Caenorhabditis elegans: one gene and its partner. The protein of the gene in region 1 purifies or fractionates together with the protein of each later gene. This does not show direct contact. Each region holds a gene or a part of one and is shown on either strand. Other genes may lie near its edges. The genes, in order: syf-1 and prp-3.

Region 1 (6,173 bases):
CTTTTTCCCTCGTGACAGCATCAAGCCGAACCCATACTGCGACGACTCTCACTGTCTGCAAAGACAAAAAGAATACGAAGAGAAGGTTGCCAATCAACCTGTGGATCTTGAAGTGGAAGTTCCAGAAGAAGAAACCGTCGTTCATGAGGACAATGAATGGGGAATCGAGCTGGTAAATGAGTCGGAGCCATCTGCAGAACAATCTTCAAGCTTGAATGCTGGAACCGGGCTCAAGTTTGCTTATGAACCAATCAAGAGAGATGCCCAGACTGAATTGTCGCCGGCTCAAGCTGCAACCCATGATTTTATGAAATCGATCAAGGATAAACTCGTCGAGGAAGCCCAGAACAAAGGAAAATAATTGCCAAAAATCAAAATATAGATTTTTCCCATATTCTTGTCAATATTAAAATTGCTTTTATAAGCTAGTCTCTCGCCTTCCATCACACTCGCTAAATAATTTATTGTCAATCCCCTTCTTTTTTTTAGGAGCCAATTTTGGGTTTTTAGCTTCTATTTTTCCTGTATTCTGTCCCCCCTTCGCTCACTATCCCCTTGTATTGCATATTACACATCATCTGTGATTGAACTCCCTGTTTTCTATTTTATTCATAAAATCTTTATTATTTACTTTCTTCTGACTTTCTCATGCTCCTAATTTACAAGAGAAGAAAGAAGAAGAAACATCAGTTTATTTACACCGAATTAATTGATAATTTACAGGAACTGTCTATTTAATAATCGAATCAAACACCCGCAAAATGAGCTGAATAATTTAAATATGCTTCTCTGATTATATTAAAGATCGTAGCGAGAAGGACCACCTTCCAATTTTATTTCCTGCGATTCGATTCGCATGCACAGATATTCTCCAAGAACCGTGCAAACTGTTGTCGATATTACTTGAAGAATCCACCTTAAAAAGGAATTTGAATTTCAAAAGTTTTATAATTAAATCCTAACCATGTAAATTGGGTTGGAAGAGCATGGTTGTAAATAGTGGTAAATATTAAATGGAAAAAGTGCACTGTACAGGCAAAATCCAGGCATTGTTTCGCACGTTGCACTAAATGCGACAGTGCGAATGAGACTCCGACGGCGGAAACTAATTGAATTAATGCCATTGATCGTTGTGTCTGAAATAATAATTTTAAAATTAAATAGACTGGGAAAATCCAAACCTGTATTGAGAAAATAGAGGAAATGAGAGGTTCGTAGCCGAAAAAGCTGCAGAACAGCATTACTGAAGTTTGAGTAGCGTAGAAAAATGTCTGAAGACACGTCATTTGACTGACGAGGAGCACTGGATCCCAGACAAACTGCCGAAACGACGACATTCTGAAAATTCGGATACTTGCACAGGGAAACCGAGAATTTATCAATGTTTTGTAGAAAAACACATTCGAAGTACATGATTACAAAATTTCAATAATTAAGATTAATAATTAAAATTGAACAAAAACAATTCACATGTGAAATCACAACGTTTTTTTTCGATAAAATCTTTTTTCCTGAAAAGCCAACGCGTATTTCCACACCAGACTACGGTCCACAATTGCGTACTCTTTCGGTCTGCATACACCAGAACCGACGATCAAAAATCTCCCGCATTTTTCGAAAATTAAATTTTATTCATATTCTTTTTAATATTTAAAGCTCGGATTACTTTTAATTTGTTATATTTTTATCTTTCCAGATAATGGCCGACAAAGAAAATGCAACAAAAATTGAAAAAATGCCGAACTCTGAGACGATGAAAGGGATCGTAAGTGAAGAAACAATCAGAACAGGAAACAATAATGCAATTTTCAGTCTTCCGAAGATGTTCCGTTTGAAGAGGATATCATTAGAAATCCCACGTCAGTAAATTGTTGGCAGAGATATATCGATCACAAATTGCAGAACAAATCTCCTGCCAAGCAGATGTTTTTGGTAATTTTCATTTAATTTTCTTCAAAAAACATTTTTTAATTTCAGATCTACGAACGTGCACTTGCAGTTTTCGAAAGAAGCTACAAACTTTGGTATCATTATCTGAAATACAGAGAAAGCACAATTGTCAACAAATGCCCAACAGACAACTCCTGGAGAGCACTCTGTGACACTTATGAGAGATGTCTCATGAGATTACACAAGATGCCACGTATTTGGATTTGTTACTGCGAAGTGATGATCAAAAGAGGCCTCATCACAGAGACCAGACGAGTTTTCGATCGAGCTCTCCGTTCTCTTCCAGTCACCCAGCACATGCGTATCTGGACATTGTATATCGGCTTTCTGACAAGTCACGATCTGCCAGAAACTACAATTCGTGTCTACAGAAGATATTTGAAGATGAATCCGAAAGCTCGTGAGGATTACGTTGAGTATCTTATTGAAAGAGATCAAATCGACGAGGCAGCAAAAGAATTGACAACTCTAGTAAATCAAGATCAGAATGTTTCGGAAAAAGGAAGAACTGCACATCAACTGTGGACTCAGCTGTGTGATTTGATCTCAAAGAATCCAGTAAAGATCTTCTCGCTGAACGTCGACGCAATTATTCGTCAAGGAATCTATCGGTACACGGATCAAGTTGGATTTTTGTGGTGCTCACTAGCCGACTATTACATTCGTAGCGCAGAGTTCGAAAGAGTAAATTTGAAAAAGTGTTTTTTTTCTGAGCACAAATTTGATTTCAGGCTCGAGACGTGTATGAGGAGGCTATTGCTAAAGTGTCAACTGTACGAGATTTCGCTCAAGTTTATGATGCTTATGCAGCTTTTGAAGAACGAGAAGTGTCGATTATGATGCAAGAAGTGGAACAAAGTGGTGATCCGGAAGAAGAAGTTGATCTTGAGTGGATGTTCCAGAGGTTTGTATGTCAAAAATTCAAAAAAATGACCTAAGTTCAGCTATAATCACCAATTTCGCCAACTTTTCCGTGTCGCAGCGGTCGTAACATGACATTTACTTGATTAATGTCAGATTATTCGTATTTTTTATTTTATTTGTGCAGTTTATCTAACGCTAAGGTATATTAAAATTTAAAAAAAATCAATGACCGGGCACGGAAAAGTTGGAAAAAATTGGAGATTTTAGCTAAAATTGGCCTTTTTTTCGAAATTTAGCACCGATAAGAAGCCCTTTTTGAAAAAAATGTGTTGAGCAATTTTTGCAAAATCTCTTTGTAAAGCCTTTACCTTTACCTTTACCTTCAAATCGTTTAACTATAAATTTGTAAAACCCTCTTGAAATTCCAGATATCAACATTTGATGGAAAGAAAGAATGAACTAATGAACAGTGTACTTCTCCGGCAGAATCCACATAATGTTGGAGAATGGCTCAACCGAGTGAATATCTACGAAGGAAATTACAACAAGCAAATTGAGACATTCAAGGAAGCCGTAAAATCTGTAAATCCCAAAATTCAAGTCGGAAAAGTTCGTGATCTCTGGATCGGTCTTGCCAAGTTGTATGAGGATAATGGTGACTTGGATGCTGCTCGTAAGACGTTCGAGACCGCTGTGATCTCACAATTCGGAGGTGTCAGTGAACTTGCAAATGTGTGGTGTGCGTATGCCGAAATGGAAATGAAGCATAAAAGAGCAAAAGCTGCACTGACAGTTATGCAACGAGCATGTGTTGTTCCGAAGCCAGGAGATTACGAGAATATGCAATCAGTTCAAGCAAGAGTTCACAGAAGTCCGATTCTATGGGCAATGTACGCGGATTATGAGGAATGTTGTGGAACTGTTGAGTCTTGTCGGAAAGTTTATGATAAGATGATCGAGCTTCGTGTAGCTTCTCCACAGATGATTATGAATTACGCAATGTTTTTGGAGGAGAATGAGTATTTCGAGCTGGCATTCCAAGCCTACGAGAAGGGAATTGCTCTGTTCAAGTGGCCCGGAGTTTTTGATATTTGGAATACATATTTGGTCAAATTCATTAAAAGATACGGTGGAAAGAAGCTGGAAAGAGCACGTGATTTGTTTGAGCAATGTCTGGAAAACTGCCCACCAACCCATGCGAAATGTAAGAACTTTTGAAAAAGTTGAAATAAATCAAACAATACCAAATTTATTTTAGATATTTTCTTACTCTATGCCAAACTGGAAGAAGAGCACGGACTCGCCAGGCATGCTCTTTCCATATACAACAGAGCCTGCTCAGGAGTTGACCGTGCCGATATGCACTCGGTAAGCACAATTTTTTTTTTGTAAAATATTGAAAAATGTTGAAAGCTCAATTTTAAATTAAAAAATCCTGAATTTTCAGCGCTTTAGAGCTCAAAAATACCTGGAAATAGGAAAATCATAGCTTTCTGCAAAGAAAAAGGCACAAAATTCGAAATTTTCAGTCGAAATTGCGCATAGTGTAGCTTTTTATTCGAAAAAAACTATACGAAAATCCAATATTCCTGCTAAAGACGCAAAAATTTTTGGAATATAAATGTTTTATTTTTAATATATCTATAGCTTCCTGAGACCAAATGTTGTAAATTCTTGCTGAAAATTGACAAAAATTGGATTTAATTGAACAAAACGACGCAAAAATTATAGTTAAAAACACTTCAAAACAACAAAATTTCGCGAAATTCAATTTTTCAAACGAAAAATCACGATAAAACCCGATAAAACCCGCAAATTCTTCAAAATTGTCATTTTAGATGTACAATATCTACATCAAAAAGGTCCAGGAAATGTATGGAATCGCGCAGTGCCGGCCCATCTTTGAACGAGCGATTTCCGAATTGCCAGAGGATAAGTCTCGAGCAATGAGCTTGCGGTATGCTCAGCTCGAGACGACGGTCGGAGAGATTGACCGAGCCCGAGCGATCTACGCGCACGCCGCCGAGATTTCCGATCCAAAAGTTCATGTAAAGTTCTGGGATACGTGGAAAAACTTTGAAGTTGCTCATGGAAACGAGGCAACTGTTCGTGACATGCTTCGTGTTCGTAGATCAGTCGAAGCGTCATACAACGTGAATGTCACACTGACATCTGTACAAATGCGTGTGGATGCTGAACGAAAGGCACAGGAGACTACGACTTCGTCGAATCCGATGGATTCATTGGATCAGCAACAGCAGCAACCTTCGGATGGAGCAGGATCAATTACTCAGGTCTCAATGAACAAAGGAAATATTTCATTTGTACGTGGAGCCGGTAAAACGGTACAACAGAATACTACAGAGAATCCTGATGAAATTGATTTGGATGAAGACGACGATGATGAGGAAGATGATGGTGGAGATGCTGATATTTCAGTCAAAGTTGTTCCAGCTCAGATTTTTGGAAATTTGAAGCTCGCCGAAGAGGAGGAAGAAGCTTGATTTTCATTATTTTTTATTTTATTTGTTGTTCAGGATCTTGAAAAATAAATTATTTATTTTATGTTACAAATTTTCCAATTTTCCAATTTTTTTGTGATGTTTTCCTTGGTTGTTGTGTTGTCTAACACTGTGTGTAATACTTTTTTTAAAAATTGTGTTTTTAATTTTTTTAGGAAATATAAAAATTGTCTGAAATCATGATTAATCACTAAGAATTTTTCAAAAAAACGTTAGTATTTTCTCATTCTTCGAAGGTATTACGATACCATCAGTTCATGAGAATGCCTACCAAGGGTGGGCAAACTTTTACAAAGTCAAGAAATCAATCAGTCAAGAATTCTTGATTTTAAAAGTCAAGAAATCAAGAAATTTTCTACGGATATTATTTTTAAGCGAAATTGAAAGAAATAGTTAAATTTATCAGTCTTAACCTATTTTTTAAAGAATATGAACAAAAGAAACTTTGAAAATGGACAAAAAGTGCAAAAATAATAATTTTTCGACAAGAACGTTAACGTTTTCAATCTTTTTGAATTCCTTTCTGCAAACCTCGCTCTTCCAACTGAAATTGTGTTTTATGGTGTTTTTTGAGTTATTATATTCTGAAAATGGCAAAAATAATAAAATAATTTCTCGGAAAATTGAAAAACCCACTTTTCAGCCTAAATTTCGAGTTAAAAATTTCTTGATTTCTTGACACAATTTATCAAGAAATCAAGAAACAAGAATTCTTGACAAACTGTCAAGAAATCAAGAAATTCAAGAAATCAATCAATCAAGAATGCCCACCCCTAATGCCTACTTTCTGGCGCGAAAATATGCCGCAACAGGTGAGAGAAAATGTGGCGAAAAGAT
Region 2 (6,256 bases), on another chromosome or scaffold:
TCCATTTTAAAGGCGCAGGCCATTTCTTCTGCTATATTGGGTCTCGCCACGATCTACACCAATTTATATTTACCACACGTGCCGAGACCCAGCTTTGGCGAAAAAAAATTAGTTGGTGTTTTCTTCCGGACGTGTAATAATAACCTTTTTTCGTAGAAAATTCTCAACAACTAGATTTTTTGGATATGTTTTTTTAAAATTTTAACCAATAAAGGGCATGGCTTCAGGCTAATTTTTGGCGGGGAATTTAAATTTCTCAGAAAACATTTTGGCGGGAATTTATCAATTTTTGAATCTTTTTGAATCTCCGTTAATTTTCAAATAAAAATCCTCATGTTCCGTACTTCTTTGATATATTGCCGTCGTTTTCTGCAATTTTCCATCTGCTTGGGATCTGTGACCACCCGTAGTGACTCCTCTAAAATCGCCCGTTTTGCCTTGATTTGCGCCTCCATCACTCGAATCGCCTCCTCAATTTTCTCGTCGACTTCTTCCATATTTTGCGGGGGTTTCTAAACAGAGAAATCTGTGGGAAATAAATATAAAAATTACGGGAAAATATGCAAAATGGGTCTAAATTACAACAAAAAGTGTTAAAATTCTAAAAAAATCTTTTTAAAATAAAATAATGTTCATTTACAGTCCCTTGGCTCAGGGCTCTCCGGGCTCCAATAACAAAAAAAAAATATTTAGAAAAACGAATTAAAATTTTCCAGAGATGTGTATTTAAGCAGTCGGTAGAATGTCTTGTCCCTCCAAAAGAACGGTGGTACTGTAACAGAGATCCCAGTATTGTGCAACTCCGTGCTTTTCGAAAAACTCGCGAGCCTGCTTCTCAAGTGTAGCCGTGTGAACGGTGAAATCACGGAAATTTCGACGCTTCACTTGTCCTTCCCAGATCTGGAAAATTTTTAATTTTTTTAACTTTCAAAATATTTTTGAAAAAAGATTTTCAGCTAAAATCTACTTTAAAAAATTGTTTTCGAAATTTCATTTTTTTTAATTTTTAATTTTGAAAATTCCACAATTTTCATAAATTTCGCGATTTTTCTACTTGGTTTTCGGTGAAAAAAAATTTATTAAAAAAAGGATTTTCTAAAGAAATTTCCAGCTAAACAAACTTCCTAAATTGAAATTTTAATTTTTTCAACTCAATTTTCAGTTTTTTTATTTGATTTGTTTTCAAAATTCTATAAAATGTATACTTTTTTAAGTTTTAATATTAAAAATTTCATGAAAAATTTCCACAAAATTTATTCAAAAATCCTGTAAAAATTTAGAATAATTTTCCTATTTTCTACAAGTTAAATCAAAAATTTCCTAATTTTTTTTACCATTTCACATAGATTTCTTTCTCCGGGAGCATCTTTTTCAGCGTCTTTCTTTTGTCCAATAATCTCATCAGACCACTTGATTCGATTAATCATCAGATTTTTATAGAATTTCTGTTGTTTTGGACCACCTTCCACAACAATCACATTTTGAGCTTTATGCATCATAATTGCTCCACTCATTTGTAATTGTTTCGCATTTGTCTCCACTTTGAACTTTTTCGACGGATGGGCCAGTGATTTTACTCTGCAAAAAAAATTAAATTTTTGCTTTACAGACGTTTTTTTTTGGATTTTTTTGGCATAAAATTCTATAAAAATTGTGAAAAAAAATGAAATAATTTTTTTTCCAATTTCTAGACTTTTTCATTTTCATCACATAATTTAGGAAAAAAACGAATTTCCTCAAAATTCGAATTTTCGATTTTTTAAAAATCCTTTTAAATATTAATTTCGAGTTTTCAATTTAATATTTCAAAATGTTTTTAAATATTAATCAGTAATTGTAAAATAGTTTAAGTAAAATAAAATAGTATTTGAAAAAAAGTTTTAAAAACTCCAAAATTTCCAATTTTTGAAGAAACTAAAAAATAAATTGTTTAATATTTTTGGAGAGAAATTAAAATTTTCTATGAAATTTTAATGCGGGAATTTCAAATTTTTCGTGAAAAAAATTGTTCGACGTAAAATTACCTATAAACCGAAACATTAACCGCCGTCGACGTATCCTCAGACAGTTTTTTCGTCTTTTTCGCGCGTTTCTGATCTTCGGTAAGCTTTCTCTCAGCATTCAATGTCTCATGTTTCTTCAATCTTTCAGCCATTTGTTTCCGAACTTGTGCTTCCATTTTCGTCGGATCCTGGATTGCTTCATTTCCAAGAACTCTCATTAAATTACTAATTTTGACTTTTGGCTCCGGAGCCTTTTCCAGTCCCAAACGAATCTTCTCTGTCTTCTCTTTCAGTACTTCCTTACGATTTTGACGACGAATCTTCTTTTTTTCTTTTGTTGTCAAGTATACTTTCAGATATTGTTGAGTTAATGGCTCAGTGGGTGCTCTCATTGAAATCGGGTGCTCTACGAGTTCGGAAACTGTCTGTGAGTATCTTTCCATGTCGTTTTCCGCAGGGATTTCGTCGTAGCTGCAAAAAATTTTATTTTTGAGGTTTTCTAAGTTAAAAATTGTTAATAAACTCTTGAAATAAATTAATTTTCTTTTTTTTTTTTGGTAAAAAAACGTCCAGAAAGGCGGCCAATTTTTGGAAATTATTTATTCAAAAATTGGAAAAAAAAAATCCAGTAAAAATTGAGTATTTTTCGCCACTTTTAACGAAAAAGCAAGAAAAAAATGGTAAAAATATAACTTGAAATTTGAAATTTCGAAAAAAAATTTTTATTTGTAGCTGCAGCTATAAAAAAACTTTTTGTGAAAAAAAATTTCAAGTTCAATTTTTACCTTTTTTTTGTTTTTTCGCTAATTTTGTAATTAAAATTTGCGCTTTTTGGCAAAAAAAAAAACTAAATTTTTGACACGAATTTTGTTCGCTATAAATTTCAAAAAACCCAAATTTTGGGGCTAATCTTCACAATTTCTTGCTCTGAACCAAGCTCTGAAGCAAAATATTTAAAATTTAATTATTTATATAAATTTACGCCGGGGTCGGCAAACCGGCAAACTGGCAAAATCGACAAACCGGCAATTGCCGTTCGACCAATTTTTTTTGTCGACAAATTCGAATCGGCAAATTGCGAGTTTACCGATTTGCCGGAAATTTTCAATTCCGGCAATTTGGCGATTTGCCGGAAATTTCAATTCCGGCAAATTGACAATTTGCCCATTTACCGGAATTTTTAAATTCCGACAATTTGCCGGAAAAATCGATTGCCGTTGACCCCTGCTTTACGTTCAATTTTTAAATAAAAGTAGCCTATTTTTTCCAATTTTTCGTTCCAAACCATCCCAAAAATCAAAAAAAAAAAAGTACTCACTTAACCTTATCCAACACCAACATATCCCACCACTCAATATCCGGTACCCCATTCTCCATTTTCGCCGTGCCCGTTGGTGTAACCATCGCAAGTTTCACAGCCGATGAGATTCCCGTCGATTGTGCAGCCGATGAGACCTCATTCTGAAGCCTTTCGAGCTTTGCCATTGCTCTTTGCTTATTCGCAAGTTTCTCGAATTCTCCCTTCTCATGGAAATTGAACCCCCGGCGACGTCGATCTGCAGTTCTCGCCTGAATCCGTGGATCCAGATACTCGATGAGTTTCTCCGGTTCTTTTGATTCTTTTGTGATCTGTTGTTGAACCTTCTTCTCTGCTTGCTGAACAGCTTCTGGCAATGGAGCCATCACTCCGGCTCCCGAATTTCCAACCATCGCATCAATCTTTGCCATTACTGTAGTTCTTGCGAGCCTCGCTTTCAACTCTTCCATTCGACTTTTCTTATCCATTGAATGTGTCATAAGCATTGTAGCTTCATCTCTTCCAAGCGATAAAGATTTTCCACCGGGAGCCACCATTTGTGTCTTTGCCTGAGCCAATGCGGCTTTTGGTTGAAGTGTTCCAGCTGCAATTGCCATTTTTCTCTTCGTCTCCTCAATCTCCTGCTGAGCCTTGTACATCATTTCCTTTGCTCGGAGTCGTTCTTCAATACTTTGCTCTGCAGGCTTTTGAGGTTCTGCTACTGCTGCTGGAACTGAAGCATCCGGCTTTCTCCGATCATCCGTCCGATCTCGTTTCCGATCACGATCCTCTCCGTCTCGATCTGTGCGAGTTCGTTTCCGTAGCTGTGGATAATGATCGCAAACGGCGGAGATCACTTTTCGCGCCTTTTGTGGGTCGGAGATTGCTTCTTGAACTCGATCCTTGAGCTTTTCGTAGTCATATCCTTTCTTCAGACATCTTTCGACTGCTTCGATTACCTGGAAATTTAAAATTATAGGATTTTTTTAGGTTTCGCCACGGAAATTTGAAATTTTTAGGTTCATAAAAAATTTTTAATTGAGCAAAAAACTCTCAGTAATAATTTGCCGGGAAATTCAAATGTTCAAATTCGGAATTCGATCAAAAATTTATTTCAAGATTACCAACCTTGTCCTGTTCCTTTTTTCTGCTCAAATACTGGTCGCAAATGTCCTCGAGCTTTCCCATCTGCAAAAATTTGATTTTTTTTTCAATGTAGAAGAGTGAAAATGGGAATTTTTAACTGGAAAAATACTTTTTCAATTAAAAATCACTAAAAATGTTAGTTTTTGAGCAAAAGAACAAAAAAAAATCAACATCTTCAATTTTGAAAAAATAAATACTAGTTTTCAGTTTTTAACCTGGAAATATGAGTTTTTAAACGAAAAAATAAAAAAAATACAGCTAACAATTTGATTTTTCCAGGAAAAATTGAAATTTTTCGGCTGAATTTTTAAAAATTAATATTAAAGCAAAAAATAGATAAAAATTGCGACAAAACGCATAAAATAAATAAAAATTGAAAAGTGCGAAAAAAATCACCATATTCATTGAATACACCAAAAAAGAAGCAATTTCCGTCTGAATAAGTTAAAAAATAAAATAAAAATTTTAAAATTAAGGTGCCAATAATTTTTCACAAAAAAAAACGGAATATGCAATACTGGACAGAAAACAATTGTTTTACAAAGAATATTTTGGGATAAAAATGATGAGATTTTTTTTGAAATGTAGGAATTACAGAAAAAAATATATATGGATGAAAATAAATATATAAAAATTGAAATTTTGAAAAAAGAAACAATTGAGAACCAACGTTTAAAGTGTTTTGCAGATGGGATGATGGATGGAGATCACTAGTAATTGAAATTTGGAAAAAAAAGTAAAATTAATGAAAATGGGGGTCAAAAACCTGGAAAAATTGGCTGAAAATCGATAAAATCTGACTAAATCCGATTTTGTCCCCGCTTTTCCGTGAATTTATGAGGATTTTGACCATTTTTGGGTGAAAATGAACGGGAAAAAAGTGATTAAGCAGATGTAGAAGGTTGAGATTCTTCCTCTTTTTGCTGCTCTTTTTCGACAGGCTCTTTCACAGCTTCATCTTCTTTTTTAGCTGCTTCTTCAGCATCAATTCCATTTTTCGAATCTCCAGAATCATCTTCCACGTCATCATATCGTCCACTGATCGCCGATGAAAGAAGTTTACTTAGATCACGGCCACCGCATTGTTCACCGCCTTCTTCTTCTTTCAGCTCACGGAGGGCGTCTGGAAAATTTTTATGTTATTTTTGATAAATTTTTGTTTAAAAAAATCGCATTTTTGACCGAAAAATCTCAAAATTTCAGCATTTTTTATGAATGGGAATTGAATTTTCTGGCAAAAAACGAAAATTTGCAATTATTTTAGTTTCAATAATTTAAAAAAAAAACGTAATTTTCAATGACAGAAATTTCAAAAATTTGAATTTAATCACATTTTTTTCCTGTAAAAAAATCAGAGTTCTTTGATTTTTTTTTTTGAATTTCTGGAATATTTGGACTTTTGAAAAGGTCGAATTTTCGAAATTTTCGGTAAATTTCGATTTCTTCTAACAAAAACTTAAAGTTTTCAATGAAATGTACTAAAATTTAAATTTTTTTGCTTTTTACGTAAAAATCGAGCATTTTTCGGGAAAAAATGTTGATTTTACCATTTTTGAAGAATTTTCTGACAGAAATTCAAAATTTTCACTGTAAAGTTTATCATAGATTATATAAACTTAAAAATTTGAACTTTCTACACGAAAAAAATGTTTGAAATTCTTAATTTTTAGGACAGTTTCTGAGAAATGGGGCATTTATCTGAAAAACGTTGCATTTTACAATATTTGAACAATTTTTTGACACAAATTTCGAATTTTCACTGAAAGCTTATAATAGTTTCGTTTAAAAATTTTGTAAAATTTCGAACTTT

What was found.
Region 2: the proteins of syf-1 (region 1) and prp-3 fractionate together in Caenorhabditis elegans (co-fractionation; one large-scale study listed by BioGRID). This does not show direct contact.

Annotation. Positions count from the first base shown.
Region 1 is NC_003279.8:3,875,367-3,881,539, forward strand, and holds syf-1 (Pre-mRNA-splicing factor SYF1), read left to right. Parts: upstream 1-1,696; 5' UTR 1,697-1,699; coding exon 1,700-1,765; intron 1,766-1,812; coding exon 1,813-1,932; intron 1,933-1,977; coding exon 1,978-2,634; intron 2,635-2,681; coding exon 2,682-2,854; intron 2,855-3,242; coding exon 3,243-4,018; intron 4,019-4,072; coding exon 4,073-4,182; intron 4,183-4,652; coding exon 4,653-5,318; 3' UTR 5,319-5,377; downstream 5,378-6,173. Other genes in the region: uba-5 (Ubiquitin-like modifier-activating enzyme 5), read left to right, coding at 1-361; T03F1.12 (Protein SYS1 homolog), read right to left, coding at 799-916, 964-1,136, 1,182-1,337.
Region 2 is NC_003281.10:10,423,495-10,429,750, forward strand, and holds prp-3 (U4/U6 small nuclear ribonucleoprotein Prp3), read right to left. Parts: upstream 4,489-6,256; coding exon 4,429-4,488; intron 4,260-4,428; coding exon 3,322-4,259; intron 2,475-3,321; coding exon 2,025-2,474; intron 1,579-2,024; coding exon 1,335-1,578; intron 901-1,334; coding exon 727-900; 3' UTR 619-726; downstream 1-618. Other genes in the region: M03C11.6 (BBS2_C domain-containing protein), read right to left, coding at 345-497; smrd-1 (SWI/SNF-related matrix-associated actin-dependent regulator of chromatin subfamily A containing DEAD/H box 1 homolog), read right to left, coding at 5,331-5,569.